3 linked regions of the Drosophila melanogaster genome follow. The protein of the gene in region 1 interacts with the protein of each later gene in a pairwise test. Each region holds a gene or a part of one and is shown in the gene's direction. Other genes may lie near its edges.

Region 1 (6,444 bases):
CGACATGGTTGGGGCGAGTTTCCGATGCGCATCCAGCTATTTTTCCAAGAGCACTTGCAGCAGAAACCCGTGCAACTAATGCACACGGTGGTGCTGGATAAAACAATGTGTGGACTGCACACGATGGGCGCAGAGACCACTGTGGAAATATGGCTGAGAGCAAAACAGGCGATAACGAAACAGAAAAGCGGCAAACCTCATCCTCCCCATGAACAGGAGACTGCAGTTCCTGCTCCACCTCTGGCTGCTCCGAATGTTTTAGAGCCTTCGGTTTTCGCCTTTCCTGGAGAGTCATGCAAACCGCGCACCATTTCAATCACTCAAAATAAGGAGGAACTTGATGACAATCTGTTTGCTGGTATCAACAAAATTGAACTCAGCGACGACATTGAGAAAATTGAACCAACTGTGTTGGTTTCAGAGCCCCTGAAGTTAAACTACAGTCCAAGAAAGCAGCCACCCACTCCGTCATCGCCTCCTAGGACTCAACTTCGGTTAAATGCGGCTCAGGTCACCGCTTCGAAGCCTTCTGTGGTCTATCTGCCAGTAAACGGCCGAAGTCCTAGGCAGGAATCCTTGCCAGAAAGGCAGCGGCAGGAGTTTTCGCCAGTAAAGCACTATCCACCGGCATCTCCGCAGAGAGCGTGGAAGGAATCCTCGTCGGATCGGCCACCAATAAAGCCTGTGCCCAATGGCCATCACCAGGGCAAGAAGAATGTTGTGTTTCAGAGAGCAGGAAAGCTGTACATTATCGATCCCTTGCAGCGCAAGCTTAAGCAGGCTGCAAAGCAACAATCCCTGCTGAAACCACAATTGAGTCTTCTTAAGCCACCGTCAGAAACGCGATGGCATATGCTGCAGTGCATGCAGCACGATCATGGGTACGCCAACATGAGCGGCGAGATGGAGGAAAAGCCAATGCTGTTACCTCCAATTGTGGACACTACCATACAATCGCGACCCCGAAGGCTGGAGCACATCTTTAGAAGTGCACAATTCCGAAATATGCGCAGTGCTGTGGAGTTCCTGCTGAGCCGCCTCCCGCTTGCGTCGATTGATCAGCAAAAGGAGTATCCATTCACTTGTATAACCCTCGAAGAGTTCCACAATCACACTGCTCTAAAACAACGTTGCTTTGAGTACCTGCGCGCACGTATGCTCCGTCGCTGTCTGATGCAGCACCACGAGCTGCATAAGTTGGACATTAGTGGAAAGGAACACTACTGGAGTTTACGGGAGATAGTGGCGTTCGCCAGGGTTCATGGTTATACGCCAGCTCTCAAAGATGTTTTACCTGTCGTGCATGAAAAGAGAAAACAAAAACTGAGCGATGAGGAGCAACTGGCTCGGCGTGTTCAGGCGCAACTAAAGGGCGAGCCCCAACCGCAACTGTCGGCCTATAGCAGTCTCAGCTCAGGCAATCGGCTGGAAGCTTGGATAACCAAGCAATCCGATCGTCTGCTTGGTCATGATCAACAGATGCGGGATAAGGAGTTCATCGATGTGTTGGGTGTGGACAAACCTCATCCGCTTGCGTCCAGGTTAACAAACTCAGCAGATGTATCTTTCCAAATGGTGAATCATCGCCAACTACTTTATCTACCTCCGCCGAAGCACTTGGATTCGACCTTGCAGCTGGTCCAGGAAATGTGCAAGGACATTAATATCACACTGGAACCGGAGGAATCTCCGCCTGGCGTCTCCCAGCCACTGGCTCTCTCGATGCTCGGACAAGTGCTGCGCACTTTTATTGAGAAATTGGTGCGCCGCTCCTTGGCGGCGAAACTGCAACAGGAGACTTTGGAACAGTTGCCACCGGCGGCGGCCAATGCTCCGTTGTGTCTCCAACCTCAGGACATAGGCCGTGTCATCAGTCTGTGTTCCGAATTGGATTTCCTCGGAAACAGTCACTTGGGAGTTGCTCCGATAGAACCACAAATCTAATGTGCAGTTGCCATTGTTTTGAATTTATTTTTTATCAAGTCCGCGTCATAGTTCAAATTCTACTGGGATATTAGTTGATATCTAATTAGAGCCTTGTACTCGTTGGTAAGCATAAATCTAAGCAATAAATTAACTAAATTAATGTCCGAAGAAATGAATACTGCGTTTTTAATTATCAACGATTATCATATTTTGGACGAAATCATGAGATGAGTGGTCATTAATTTTTAAATTTTGAATATCTGGCTGAAGACTTTTAAATTGTTTTATCAATATAAATAATAATCGCTACAATTGCATATTTGTACGAAACATGTAAACATTTTTAAGTCTTATCAGCTATCTTCACAGAGTAATATATCTTTATAGTGCCCTAGAAGTATGCAGTGAAAAGTGCCGTTAACAAATTGAATAACTGTTAAAGGGCGGTTTTTTTTTGCAGCTCTTAGCATATCCATATGATTCTTCGACTATTATCGGTCGCAATCGCATCTCTTTTGGGGGCGCTCTCTTCGCTCTCCCCGCTCACCGATCGATTTCATTCATGGCGCATGCCAATGCCGCCAATGTAGGGATGAGGTCCATCTGTTTCTCTGGCTCTGTTTTCCTCAGTCTCTTTTCCGACGTGCGCGCAACAAGACCTAAAATCAAAGTGGAGCAGAGAAGAGCCCGCTTCCCGCGCTTGCTGCTCTTTAGATTAACTAATTAATTACTTGCCTGATATATAAAATGATTCACGAGTCATTATAATAATTATAATGTCGAAGCCTTCTACAGGCCATATAGCAGCTCCAGTACGTCTAAGATAATCTATGAAAAGCTTTTGGATCACCAATTTTGAATGCTATTTCTTTTCCTTTTTTTTTTGTTTCGTGTGTGTGCGTTCGTGCGACAGAAAATGTGGAGGCGCTAAAATGTTCTATTTTTATTTTGCAGTAAAATCCACAAGGAGATGCAAGTGTGTAGTATGTTTCAGCTTCTGTTGCGACGCCAAATTGCATTTGCGGCCAGCACGCCGCTCGATCCCTCGATCGTTTAGACCCCTTCATTGACTCAGTTTTCCTAGTGGTGGACAATCGGTCCACCCAATCAATATTTTTCGGAGCGCCACCCCAAGCGTTTTCCAATGATGCAAATCCCATTTACTCGGATTTTCAAAGTAATTTTCGTGCTCTCAACAATTGTCGCCGTCACAGGTACGTACATAATCTCCACCTGATTTTTAGATTCCAATATTACGGCCAGTATTGCCAGGCTCTCCCACAAAAAAAGCTATTTCTAGCGTCGAAAAAACTGGAAAACAGCTACAACAAATCATAAAATATTTGCAGTGCTGATTATATACTTGTTATGCTAAAAAACTAAAACTTCCTTGAAAACTGTGTAAAATCCTGTATTAGCTTTCTGTTCGTGGATGATGAATGAAGTAAACTTCAGATAATATACATATTTGTGAATTATTTCTAAAGATTTTTTTGAGTTTCATTTAAATACTGTCCTTATGAACAAACTTTGCATTCTTAAAAATTAAAAAAATTAGTAATAATAATACCATAGGGAGACATTTTTATGATAATTTCAAAAGTTGCCGCACTAAAAACTGAAAGCTTTTTGTACTTCAACTTGAGCTTTACAACGTTATCTATTCTGTATCTTTGCGATCACTGGAAATGTCCTGTTTTCTTAATCGCACACCTTCTTCTGTATTCTGCAGATTGTTGTTCGAGCCGAATCTTACTTCTCCGAGAGCATACGCTGAAAATTGTGCAGCATCAGCACAGCCACATGCACGAGCATGCGCACGAGCTGCAGCAGCAGATCCAGGAGACCGCGGTTGAGTTGCTCAATCGCCTGGAGCTGCAGCGCAAGCAACTGGAGGCCTCGGCCCAGGAGGAGGCAGACCAGCTGCATCCCGATACGGATCCCAATCCGGACTCGGGCGGCCAACTGCCAAACGCAGACGACTCCATTGCTGCGGATCCGGAACAGGATGGGATAATTCTCGGATCCAGTACCGACACCTGGTTGGCCAGCGAAAGCAGCACACCAATCACTGATTCCGAGACAGTGACAACACCCGAAACTGTTACCCACACCGGAGAACCGCCACCTGACCCCAGTTCGTCCAGCACGCCTGACTCCACGACTCCCAGCCCGAACGACAAGGAGACAGAGATTCAGATGCTGCCCTGCAGCGAAGCTTACAATACTAGCTTTTGCCTGAACGGCGGCCACTGCTTCCAGCATCCGATGGTGAACAACACAGTCTTCCATTCCTGCCTCTGCGTTAACGACTACGATGGAGAGCGGTGCGCCTACAAGAGCTGGAATGGTAGGTACTCTACTCTAGCATAGCCATCCATTCACAGAAGTCTCTTCCTGTGTTGTATGGAACGGATGGAACTAACGATATCTATTAGTCTGTACCCAGTACATGGTAACTAAATGAACTCATTGATCATTGCAGGTGACTACATCTATTCGCCTCCAACAGCGCAGCGGAAGGTCCGAATGGCGCACATCGTCTTCTCCTTTCCCGTACTCCTCATGCTGTCGTCGCTCTACGTTCTCTTCGCAGCCGTTTTCATGCTCCGCAATGTGCCGGATTATCGCCGGAAGCAGCAGCAACTACACCTGCATAAGCAGCGCTTTTTTGTCAGATGCTGAGATTTAGAATTTGATTTGGAAACAATTTGGTTTCACCTATATAAGCCTCCTCTTTGTTGGATGGCAAATTCTTGTTGACCATATTTCTTTACGTTGCGCAGCGTAAAATTAACGCTTTAATTTATTGAATACATTTAGTGTACTTAGTAGGATTTTCTATTTAGTTGCAAAAGACGCACAAGTTAGTATTTGCTTTTCTTTATCATTTCTTAGTTTCGTTTGTTTCGCTTTTGAAGCTTTCGTTGGAGCTTTTGTAGTTTGTTTGTAGTAACATTTTGTTACGTTAAATTAACCATTACGAAATATAATGTAATCTTAGCGCTTACTCCAGTTACCAGGACAAGTGATTATTTTCGTAACACTCTGTTACATTGTGTATATTGTAAAGAAAAACTATTTTGGTAGTGTATTAAAGAAGAGGATTGGGACTCGACTCGAAACAGAATTAAAACATTCAAAACATTGTTTCCTTTCTGCGGTTCATCGTATCTCGTATCTCGTTTCTATCTCTCTCGTTTTTTTTTTTCAGCCGGCGGATATGAGTGAAGCACGCTTTTGGGTTTTATATTTTATAATATATATTTTATCCAATATTTCGTCCAAAAATTCTTTACAAATTTCTTCGAACTTACAGTTAAATGTATAGTAGAAATTATTCAAAAAATTCTCCTCACTTTCATCATTTCATCGTATATGATTTGTTGATTCTTTCGCTATCAAGATCATCAATATGAGAATGGTATGTATGCGCTTGTGTGGTGGATGGTGTGTGCTTGATGGGTGATGGATGTGTTTTTGGGGACTTAACCCGATCTGGAATTGAGAGGCATCAATAAAAAAAACTATTGATTCCTGCGCGTGGGTGGTGTTTGAGTGGGGCGTGGTGATTGGTTGCAGTGGTTGCATTGGTGGCGTGGATGGTGGTGTCGCGTGTAACTCGGACTTTTGCTTGCGTATATCTTGGATTAGGGATATGAAGTTCGTACAAAAATTATTTAAAATATGTAAATGTTTAAAAATGTATTTTTGCTTGTTTTTTGTTTTGTTTTGTTTTTATCTCGTTTATCTTGTAATTGTTTGTTGTTTTACGTTGCGTTCTTTTGTTGTTGCTTGTATCGTTTGTTGTTTTGTTTTTAATAATATGTAATATTATATATAATAATTATGAGTAGGATTATTCGCATGTAACGGGCAGTTGTTCCTGTGTTGTAACGTCTGCCGCGGCGGCATTCTTCTCCTTCAGATCCTTGGCGAGATCCACCTGTGAACAAACGCAATGGAAATTATTAGTTGTTTATCTGGTCAAGGCTTTTGCTTTGTGTGTTGCATAAAAAAAAAATTATTAAAAACTGAAAGCACAACAACAACAATTAAGGGGAAAGAAAGTTCGCGACAATGACAAAGGCGCAAAAACAAAACGAAATAGTATACAAAATAATGTATTTAATAATAAGCGATTTACGAACTGTGTGTGCGAGTGTGTGTGTATGTGTGTAGTGTTTTTAACATTAAGGTACAGTTGTGTATTTATGGTCTTTGGTTTTAGTGAGAGCCAAGAGTTACGACAGCCAAACAGATATTGAGTTAGGACAGAGCGGGGTATAAATGGGTTGGGTTTTGAATAATTTTCTGTTTTCTAAATTTGTATTTTGGTGTGCATGTGTGGAGGATTAGGATGAATGCGTTTTAGGTTGTGTTTATGGACTTGGTATCTTGCGGTTAATACAATGCAGTCGCTATCCTCGGTTTAGTATTACGTACTTCATTCGCTTTATATCACCAAAAAATATCATGCAATCCCCGAGCAATTCAATCAACATCAATCAATGTACC
Region 2 (3,597 bases), on another chromosome or scaffold:
TCCTAAGTTGAAAAGTGGAATAATGCGCCTCCTACTTACTTCTTAAATATATTCATCTATATACTTATATATAAATGCATATATAGTCATAATTTATTATACAAATATACATTTAAAGAATTCAAAAACCCCAGAAGCAAAACTAAACTTAACTAAGGCGGAATCCAAGTTCGTGCAAGCAAAGGCAAATAAAGCAACCCAAGTTGAACGAATGCTCTATCGAATGCACTTTCGCTCTATCATATTGATGTTATATTTCTAATTCTCCTGTGATTTTGCCAAAAACAAAACAAAAAAAAAAAAAAAAAAACAACAAAACCAATCGAAATGCAACAAATCGAAATATGAAGTGCTTATGATGAGAAAGGACAGATGCGCGGGGCAGCTAAGCAACCTGCCCGAAGGAGGTCTCCTCTATTGACTTAGTCTTATTTACACGTTGTGTACTTTTTATATATTTATACATACCTACTTGTACTAATCGAATGTTATAACCTACGTAACGTATTTTTATATATCTTGACTAACTTGATAACACCAGAGGAAGGCGACGTTTGCCAAGTTTCTTAAGTCTATCTTAACCAATTTCTAACGCCACTTAACTCAAATTAATCAACGATTCTCACGCAGAACGTAGAACGCCTCGAACGTTTTCTAAAATACGCTACATTTTGCAGTTTATAACGCGAGTTAACTGAAAATCGAATAGTTATTATACATCAAAACATACATATGAAGCAATGCCGTGCGGTGATATTGCAGTAACATTTTTTTATACCTAATTATACTAGTTAAAGATGCAAGAAAACCAAATAGTAAAACGCATGTTACAAATTTTACAATTAACAAATTTTTGCACACTCGCCACTCTCAATTCGTTAGCTAATCAATTAAATTCCATTGCATTATTCAAAGTAATCGACTCGAGGTCGTATCTCATTGTAAAATGGTGTAGCCACAAGTTGGGAACCCATCGATAGATAGGCCCGCATGGATTGCCCAGTTAGCTGGCCAGTCGAAGCAATAATAAGCGAATCCTTCAATAAAATTATAATTATACACTAACCAACAAAGGTTTTCTTCAATTGTTGTTGCGCTGGTGGAGGAGCTACAGTACAATATGAGATTAGATAAGGTCTGCGGCAAAAGCTAGCCTGCTCACCCATCACCACCATGAATACTCCCGTCCAGTTTAGTTGTGAAATAATCGGCGGTCTGCAAGTTACTCTGCGATTTTGGAAACATGTGGAAGCTGGACACCAAAGGAGGAATCATCTGCTCGGGCTGCCTGTCCATAGCCTTTGCCATAACCTATCTGGTTTTGATGGACGATTACTTCTGGAAATGTAGGCGCATATACATACCAATCTTGGATATCTTTGCGATGCATAGAGCTATTTCGTTTCAGATGGACTCTACGAGATGGGAATACACATTTCGGCGCTGCAGATCTTGGGAAGCGTGGTCCTCATCGTTGGAGCCATAAAGGTTAGTTAGGCACACTGTGCACAGTCCACAACACTCTTATCTCTTATCTCTTTGCTCTGCTCTTTGCTGCATACAGCAAAAGCACAAGTTCTTCGTGCCGTGGATGATAACCACAGGATTCTTTTTATACCTGATGGTGAACCTGTTCATTTCACTGATAGTCCAGGGCACAGCTTGGATCTTCGGACCATTGATGGTCGTTCCGTTCACAGGTGAGGAGTTAACGCAGCCAGAGATTGGACAGCCAATTAACCAAAATCCTTCACTTTCAGCCTATCTGGGCTGCGCCCTGTACTCGGTGCAGAAGGCCTTCGACAGGATGCGCAAGGAGGAGCCACCGGCATATGCCAGCTTGTCCGACAAGAAGGAGTTCATCAATCACATATAGATACATATATAAGCAATTTCAATACAAACAAAAAAAAGATTAAAGGTAGATCAGATAGCTGGAAAATAAAAGCTCATTTTAAGTGCTATTCAAACGAAACAAACCCACAAGAAATCGGTGTAAATTTAAACTTTTCTAAAGTTTATTACAATTTGCAATGGGAACTATAAACTTTAAGGCAATCACTTTTGTGAACTATTATTTTCAGTGTGCTCTGAAAATATATTTGTTATCTTTTTTCTGCGAAATTTCGTTTCCAGCTCACATCTCTGTTATCTCTGACAAAGGTAATTCTGTTTTTTTTTTACTTTTATCATTTGGCTTTTAGCAAAGCTTGTTTTCTATGATGCACAATTTTATTATCCCTTTTGCGGTGCCTATATATCCCACAAAGGCTTTTATGTATATGCGTTGTATATAAAGCAATGGCTGATTAGATAAGTATTAAAAAAAGCTTTTTAGTAATGGAACAATGGATCATTTGCGAACAAAACGCCCATCGAGGAGTTGGAAATGTGGAAACCGGACTCCAAGGCGGGCATTATTTGCTCCGGGGCTGCATCGATCTGCCTTGCGATCGCCTACCTCATCATATTCGCCAACTTGAGGGGTACTGAACGGGGGTCAAAGTTCAAGAGCCAGCACATCTAATACCAGTTTCCCCGCAGAATTATCCTACGCATTTGGAGTTCACATAGCGTCCATGCAGATTATCAGCAGCGCAGTACTCATCGGCGGAGCCATCAAGGTCGGCCATACTCCCAATGCAACTTCCAATTTTTCACCCACATTCTCTCATCGCAGGAGAGGCACAAGCTCTTCGTGCCCTGGATGATCACAACCGCCATGTTCCTCTACTTAATGGGTTACTCATCCATTGTGCTGCTGGCCATGGGCGATTGGTTAATCGTCATGTTTTGCGCAGCGCCAATGATAGGTACAATATAGAGATTAACTTCGTCCTTCAATAAATCCAAAAACTACTTTCAGGCTGCCTCGGAATGGCATTCTATGCGGTGCAGAAGGCCTTCCGCAGGATGCGCAAGGATGGGCTTCCACCGAAGTATGCCGACATGCAAGTCAAAAGTATTTTGGTGAATCCCATATGATGCATTTTGCCATTTACAATTGTTGGTTTATCAAAAGCATGATGCTTCTGAGATATGGTTATATATTTTGTCTTTACTAAATGCAATAATTATATATAATATGGTGAAGAGCATTTTTAGTGGTGTTATTGTATTTATATATTACATTCTATAATATACAAATTAATACTGAGAGTTTGATTTGTTGAAATTACTTTTCCATTTGATTTACCATCAATATTTTTATGATTGTTAAATGGAAATTCTATTAAGCCTTATAATTTGAACAGAAATAGCTCAAATAATAAAAGCTACATATTTTTTAAAAATATCTTAAGCTTAGCATTTGGAAATTTAGAATGACGGCATTTTCAAATATCCCGCTCTTTGCAGCCCTGGTTGATGCTAATCGATTCAATTCTGTAATGCCGATAAGCTATGTACCAAGCAGCAAGCATATGTGTATGACCTTTCGTGACCTTGGTTATGCTCATAAGAAAGCCGCTTTGTATAAGAACGCAGGTCGATATATGAAAACAAACCCTTTATCCACCAAAAAGTATAAAGTATATATAAGCTATATAGTTTATATGGTCTGAGTTCAATTGGTCGTTATGTGTATTTATGTTGTTT
Region 3 (5,714 bases), on another chromosome or scaffold:
GATTGGTTTTAAGTGCTGGCTAAAAGGCATTTTCAATTGTAATTGCTGCGGCTTTTAGGCGAATAAACGAGGCAGAGTAATGAGCAAAAATTAAAAAACAAAAGAACACACACACACAATCATTCATACGAACCAAGAAGGTTTGGCTTGGCTGCGCTTTGGCGACGCCTAACGGCATTAATCAAAAGACTGAAGACACAAACTTGGCAGTGCCTCAAAAAGAGCAGGGAACACATATGTACATATGTATGTCTGTGCGTATGTGTGAGCACATCGTTTGGAGTGTTTTCTATTTATGACGAACCGCCATAAAAATGATGCCAAAAATAAGCGCTTACTCGCTATAGAAGCGTGCGCTAATAGGCCATCATTTAACTGTAAGGCGTGGCAAGTGTTACAATCGCATTTGGCCAACAGGAAGTCGAATATGTAATACCAACAGACAAAACAAACAGCCCACCCCTAGTCTAAAAAGGAAATAGCACTGAATCTACTTATAATAATCTTGGAAAGGATGCCAATGTAGTATTAAACTTTTAAATCGTATTATATTCTTTTGGCAGGGAATCCAAGCAACAATTGGCTTGTGTCCAACTGAGTAGTAAAGTTAAGTCTGCCTGTTACTATTATAATAGAAATCGAATATTGAAAAAAAAAAGGGTTTAAGAAACCTAATTGATGAAATAACTCAATCATCATTTATTTTTCGAGGTTCATCTCTAGAACAGCCTTTCGTAGTAAATTCCGTAACCATCCATCAACATAATTATGGGCTTCACCTCCACTCCAGTTAATCTCATATATTTCAAAGTTAATGACGTTGTCATAGAACATCTAACCAAATATATTCCCACAGCTCGGATCCAAACAGAGTTGTAGCTAGGCAGCCACTACAGAATCATTGAGAAATCAATGGCCATTTGGTACACGGTTTTGGCACAAATCAAACTTGAAATCGCACCCACGTCTAGAACGAGGCGTTGAACCAACCAACCATGTGGGTGGCTGTCCCGATGACGACGACTACGAGATTTGGCTGGCCGTGTGGGTTTGCAAGGCAAAAAGCGAAATAAGTATATACGAATGTATATTCGGACAGCAAACAAATCGAAAAGTGTAAAAAATGCCAGACACCTACGTGCACATCGCATTCTGTGATATAGATACACCGATTTGTAGCCTACGATACGTACACTTTTGCCCATTCAAAGTCGAAAATTTCGGCCATTACGTAATGCCCTAAACTAGGTGTGCTAGCTGGCCCTCTTCTGCCATTTAAAGTCACGACAACACTTTCGATATTTACCTGCTGACCAACTGAGTAAACTAAGAAGCGGATTGGTCATTCCCATTACCATTACCATTCCCATTCCCCTTGGCCAATAGCACCACCAATACCATTATCATGACCATTCCCATGACCTTGCCGCCAGCTGAATCTATAGAACTCGCCGAGTAGTGGGGCTCATTCCACTCCGCTGGCGAGTGCAACTAATTAGGTTCATTGCCAATGTCAAGTGTCAGTAAATGACATCAGCCACGGGATCACTCATAAGTCCGAGGAGCAATTCATTAATTTCCACTTTTTGCTGTCCCCGCTGGTTAATTTATTTCATCCAAGCCACGCAGTTTTGTCACTGAGACAAAAACACAACAATGACATCTCTGCTTAAAATAAATTAAGGTACAAATTAGTTTGCGGCAAAGCGGTGTATTTAAGTAGTTAATTGATGTTTTAAGAGGAATTCCATTGAAGAGTTACTAGATTAGCTACGTCAACTGTCTTTTGTAATATTAGTCAGCATGATTTTCTCGCACTGTATTCTCCTGTCGGGGCGTTAAAAAAGTGCTCAAGCCACAACTCATCGCTGTGCCGAGCAAGTGATGAGTGATGTCATCCCAGAGTTGTTTACCTCTCCGAAAAGTGTTTGTCAATAAATAGTATTCGTATTCGTATTCAAAATCTGCATACCAGCCTCGCTCAGAACTGGACGTGCTATGATATATGCGATCTGTGGCAATTGACTTGTTTAGAAACGCAACCGGATTTCCTATAATTAAGTTGGTTAGACGGTCATTTGACGCCTCGTTGTCTTCGCAACGCCGTGTGGAAAAATGCCAAAAAGGCCATTCAGACGGCCAACTTTCGGTTTGCACAAATTGTTTGGGTAAAAGTGCGACAAGTGAAAACGGGCGAACAATTGACAATTGATCGTGGCAGATTTCATTGCTGTGATTACGTCCATTATCTTCTGGGGTGGCTCCCACGTTTACACACATGTTGGCCTTCTAACGTTTGTGAAAGACTTGCCCAAACAGCCACATTCACGACAACCACTGGCATCCACAGTACTGCCCACCAGATCTGCTCGCTTTTTGCCTGCTGTTGCCGCGGCGAAATTCCAAACTAAGTGATTTCTGTTATTTTACAGACTCTTTTTTTTTGTATTATTTTCGCCTTTTTGTTATTTTTGTATTCAATTTTCCTTTTCGCTCGCTTCGTTTTGGCTTGGAAGCGACGAAACCAGTTTTGCTTTATAGCCAGATTCAGAGATATTCGCACACACACATTCGCTGGCGAAACCCCCCGCATTTTTTTTTATAAATTCTCCTGCTGCTCTCTGGAGCTTTGAGCTTTGGCCATGACGTCATCGTTTGTTTTGGCCAGGCCAAGAGAGCAGAGCCGCCCAGATCGACCAGCTAAGCGCAGTTCCAGTTCGCTTCGGGCCGCGAGCGCGTGCAAACGAAACTAAAACTGATACTGAAACCGAAACTGAATAGCATAGCTACAACTTACAGCGATCAGAAGTATCTCATCGCGATCTATCCATTTCTCCCGATCAGTGTTTCGAACGCGAGTTACATCTGTACATACATATGTGCGAGTCGCAGGTGAAGTGCAGTGACGTGCAGTGAAGATGGACGTCAAGGACATAAAAGGCGCCAAGGTGACGCATGCGGGGCTGCTCAAGCACAACTCCGATGGAACCACCGAAACGCAGAAGATCACCCATGCCGGTCTGGTGGCCCGGAGTCCCGAGGGCACCGCCGCCAAGGGTATGAACATACGGGGCAACGAGGACCTCTGGGTAGAGATCCAGGCGAACACATTCCGCAACTGGGTCAACGAGCATTTGCGTGAAACGGGAATGCAGGTGAGTTAAGCCATAGATATATTGTAGATATATTTACATTCCGATTATGCAACACTTTCTAACCGACTGAGTAATGCCTGCCGCCGACTGAATATCTGATCGATCAAGCGCAAAAAACAATTACCCAATCAATGGGCTAGCTCCGTTGAATGTGGAATTCGTAGAACTATTGATGAAGCAGGGCCTGAGAATCGATGAGTGAAATACAAAACGTTTAGATCTGGAATTTTAGCCAGGAAATGATTTGCGAAGGCAGTTGCACATAGAAAAAGTGGCACTGCTTAATGAAGTGTAATTAGGGATAGAAAACAAAATATGAATATGTGAAATAATGAACACTTTTTAATTGAACTCTATACAAATAAAATTTTCGATTATTATAAATCGCAATTAAGAAGCACTTTAAAAGCAAGGTTTTTGAAGTTCATATACTGATCCCATTTAAGCTAAATATAATCGCATAACGAGCGCATTGACTGGTGACAGAACACGTAAAAGTATAAATCGCCATCATAAACTGGGGCTTCGAGCTCTTCCGCGAGTTTCCCTAAAAGGCCGGGCTCATAAAACTCGGCTCAATCGCCCACGCAGATCTTGAACTCCAATGGCAGCAACGACAATTACATTAACAATGATGCCAAGAGTACTCACACGGACTTATGTGTACTGCCAACAATGCATTTCATTTGTCCAGGGACTTTTGAACTGTCACTCGCTTCGACGGATTTTCTCACACGCACCGCACTGAAACGACCTGAACCGACCATATTTGGCCGGTTGAATGCCAAGGCCAACGCATCGAGTTCCCATTAGCAGTTACAATACACAAAACAAGCTAAAGCTTTTGTGCGCGATCTTGCCCGGTTTCGAGTATAAAATTCGGGGTTTTATTTTTTTTTTTTTACTTTTTCGGTTGGGCCAAAAACGTACATACATACGTGTATGTGTACATATGTGATGAGCAAGGCTGAAGACCCCTTAGTAAACAGCGCTAATTGTGACCTGGCTGGCGTCTATTTGGGTCACCAAACCAAAACGAGTCATCCAAGTTTGCGTTTTTTACGCTGTTTACAATTCTAGTTCATGCGTATGCGACAAATAATATTGCAATCCACTTTGTATGACAAATGCATGTGCAAACAAAAGGGAAATGCTTTGATGGGAGCAGATACACGGAGAGAAATATTCAAAGTGACTGCATTGTATGACCTTAACGTTTTAATGCAGTGCAACAACAGTTGCGGCAGGTAGAATTAAATTATCTCAAAATGATTGCCACCATGGAACTGTCGTAATAGAATGACTAGACATTTTCTGACATATAGCAAAAATTTATATGCAAATAAAAGTACATATATATTTTGTTAGGTGAAAACGCAACTCCCAACGAAACTCGAGTTCATATCGTAAAATCAGAGGAATCTTAAAAATTTAAGGGCGGAATAACAGCAGCGACAAATAACAACCTGCGGCAGCTTGTTAGAGAGCCATGGAGCAACTACATATGTGCGATGTGAGATTTTTATGGCATCCAATGAATATTTTCCTAGGCACAAACAAACAGCAACAGACACGCGATTGTCTCCGTACCCAGTTCTCCAGTTTTTTGTCGTATTTTATTTGTTGAGTTGAGTTGAGTGGAGTGGAGTGGAGTTCCCCCCAGTCGAATCGAATGCCGACAGCAGCCAGATAAAAAGCTTTATGTCAAATGCTTAAAATCGCGCACAATTGGTTGCACCCGGGCGGAGAAAGCCGCTCAGTTCGGAGCAGCGAACCTGTTGGGTTCCCAAGCCCATTCTTGAGCTCCATGTGCCATGTTCCGAGATCTGAGCTCCATGCTCCAAGTTCCGAGCAAGCGGTTTACCTTGCAAAGTGGGCCACCAGTTTGCGGAAGGGGCGTTGATTGCTCATTAGGAAGGCTGCCAGTCAAGCGACCTTCTTGCATTTGCGCAGACATGGTAGGCGTTTCGCACATTTGCTAATCTCCATTGGGAACTATGTACATATGTACTACAGCAAGTCTAGTAATCTCAACTAATGCATAGCTATAAAGAAAATGCTGCTAGAGTCATTAAATAAAGATAAAAAATCTCTTCTTTCGAACATTTTTTTGTTTTGGGTTAGCATGCTTTTTAAAATTAAATCTATATAGAATGGAAAAGTAAAAACTACCCACTTAATAAAAGTACATTTTGCAAATCCATTAGACCGTAAAAAGCTAATATCATATTAAATGCAATTATAATAATAAACCTATTATGGAATGCACTCCCATCTCTTACTTGCCACATTACTTGCGTTGCTAAACGGAATGTATTCCAGCAGTAATCTAATTATTTGCCACAAACTTTCCCATTACTATTTCTAATGATACGGAGAAGTTAATGCAAATTCCCATTGTCTCTCAGGTTCATGACTGGGCCACCGATTTCTGCGATGGCACTTGTCTGTGCGCCCTTGTGGAGAATCTGCAGACGCGTCCACTGAAACCCTCGTGGAATCGCCGACCCGCCAACCAGCATCATTATTTGGAGAACGCCACCACGGCGCTGAAGTCCA

What was found.
Region 2: the proteins of grk (region 1) and CG12824 interact in a two-hybrid assay, tested with the Drosophila melanogaster proteins (one large-scale study listed by BioGRID).
Region 3: the proteins of grk (region 1) and jbug interact in a two-hybrid assay, tested with the Drosophila melanogaster proteins (one large-scale study listed by BioGRID).

What each region holds. Positions count from the first base shown.
Region 1 is NT_033779.5:8,429,709-8,436,152, reverse strand, and holds grk (gurken), read left to right. Parts: upstream 1-2,554; 5' UTR 2,555-2,738; intron 2,739-2,880; 5' UTR 2,881-3,070; coding exon 3,071-3,140; intron 3,141-3,658; coding exon 3,659-4,276; intron 4,277-4,411; coding exon 4,412-4,611; 3' UTR 4,612-5,067; downstream 5,068-6,444. Other genes in the region: D12, read left to right, coding at 1-1,944; Akap200 (A kinase anchor protein 200), read right to left, coding at 5,786-5,872. UniProt on the Drosophila melanogaster protein: Critical for defining the anterior-posterior and dorsal-ventral axes of the egg. May signal directly to dorsal follicle cells through the receptor torpedo (top).
Region 2 is NT_033778.4:7,788,013-7,791,609, forward strand, and holds CG12824 (uncharacterized protein), read left to right. Parts: upstream 1-2,355; 5' UTR 2,356-2,389; coding exon 2,390-2,486; intron 2,487-2,544; coding exon 2,545-2,624; coding exon of another isoform or gene 2,625-2,680; coding exon 2,681-2,813; intron 2,814-2,866; coding exon 2,867-2,985; 3' UTR 2,986-3,097; downstream 3,098-3,597. Other genes in the region: CG12825 (uncharacterized protein), read left to right, coding at 1,244-1,346, 1,409-1,488, 1,565-1,700, 1,761-1,876.
Region 3 is NT_033778.4:22,734,046-22,739,759, reverse strand, and holds the start of jbug (jitterbug), read left to right. Parts: upstream 1-2,714; 5' UTR 2,715-2,918; coding exon 2,919-3,155; intron 3,156-5,563; coding exon 5,564-5,714.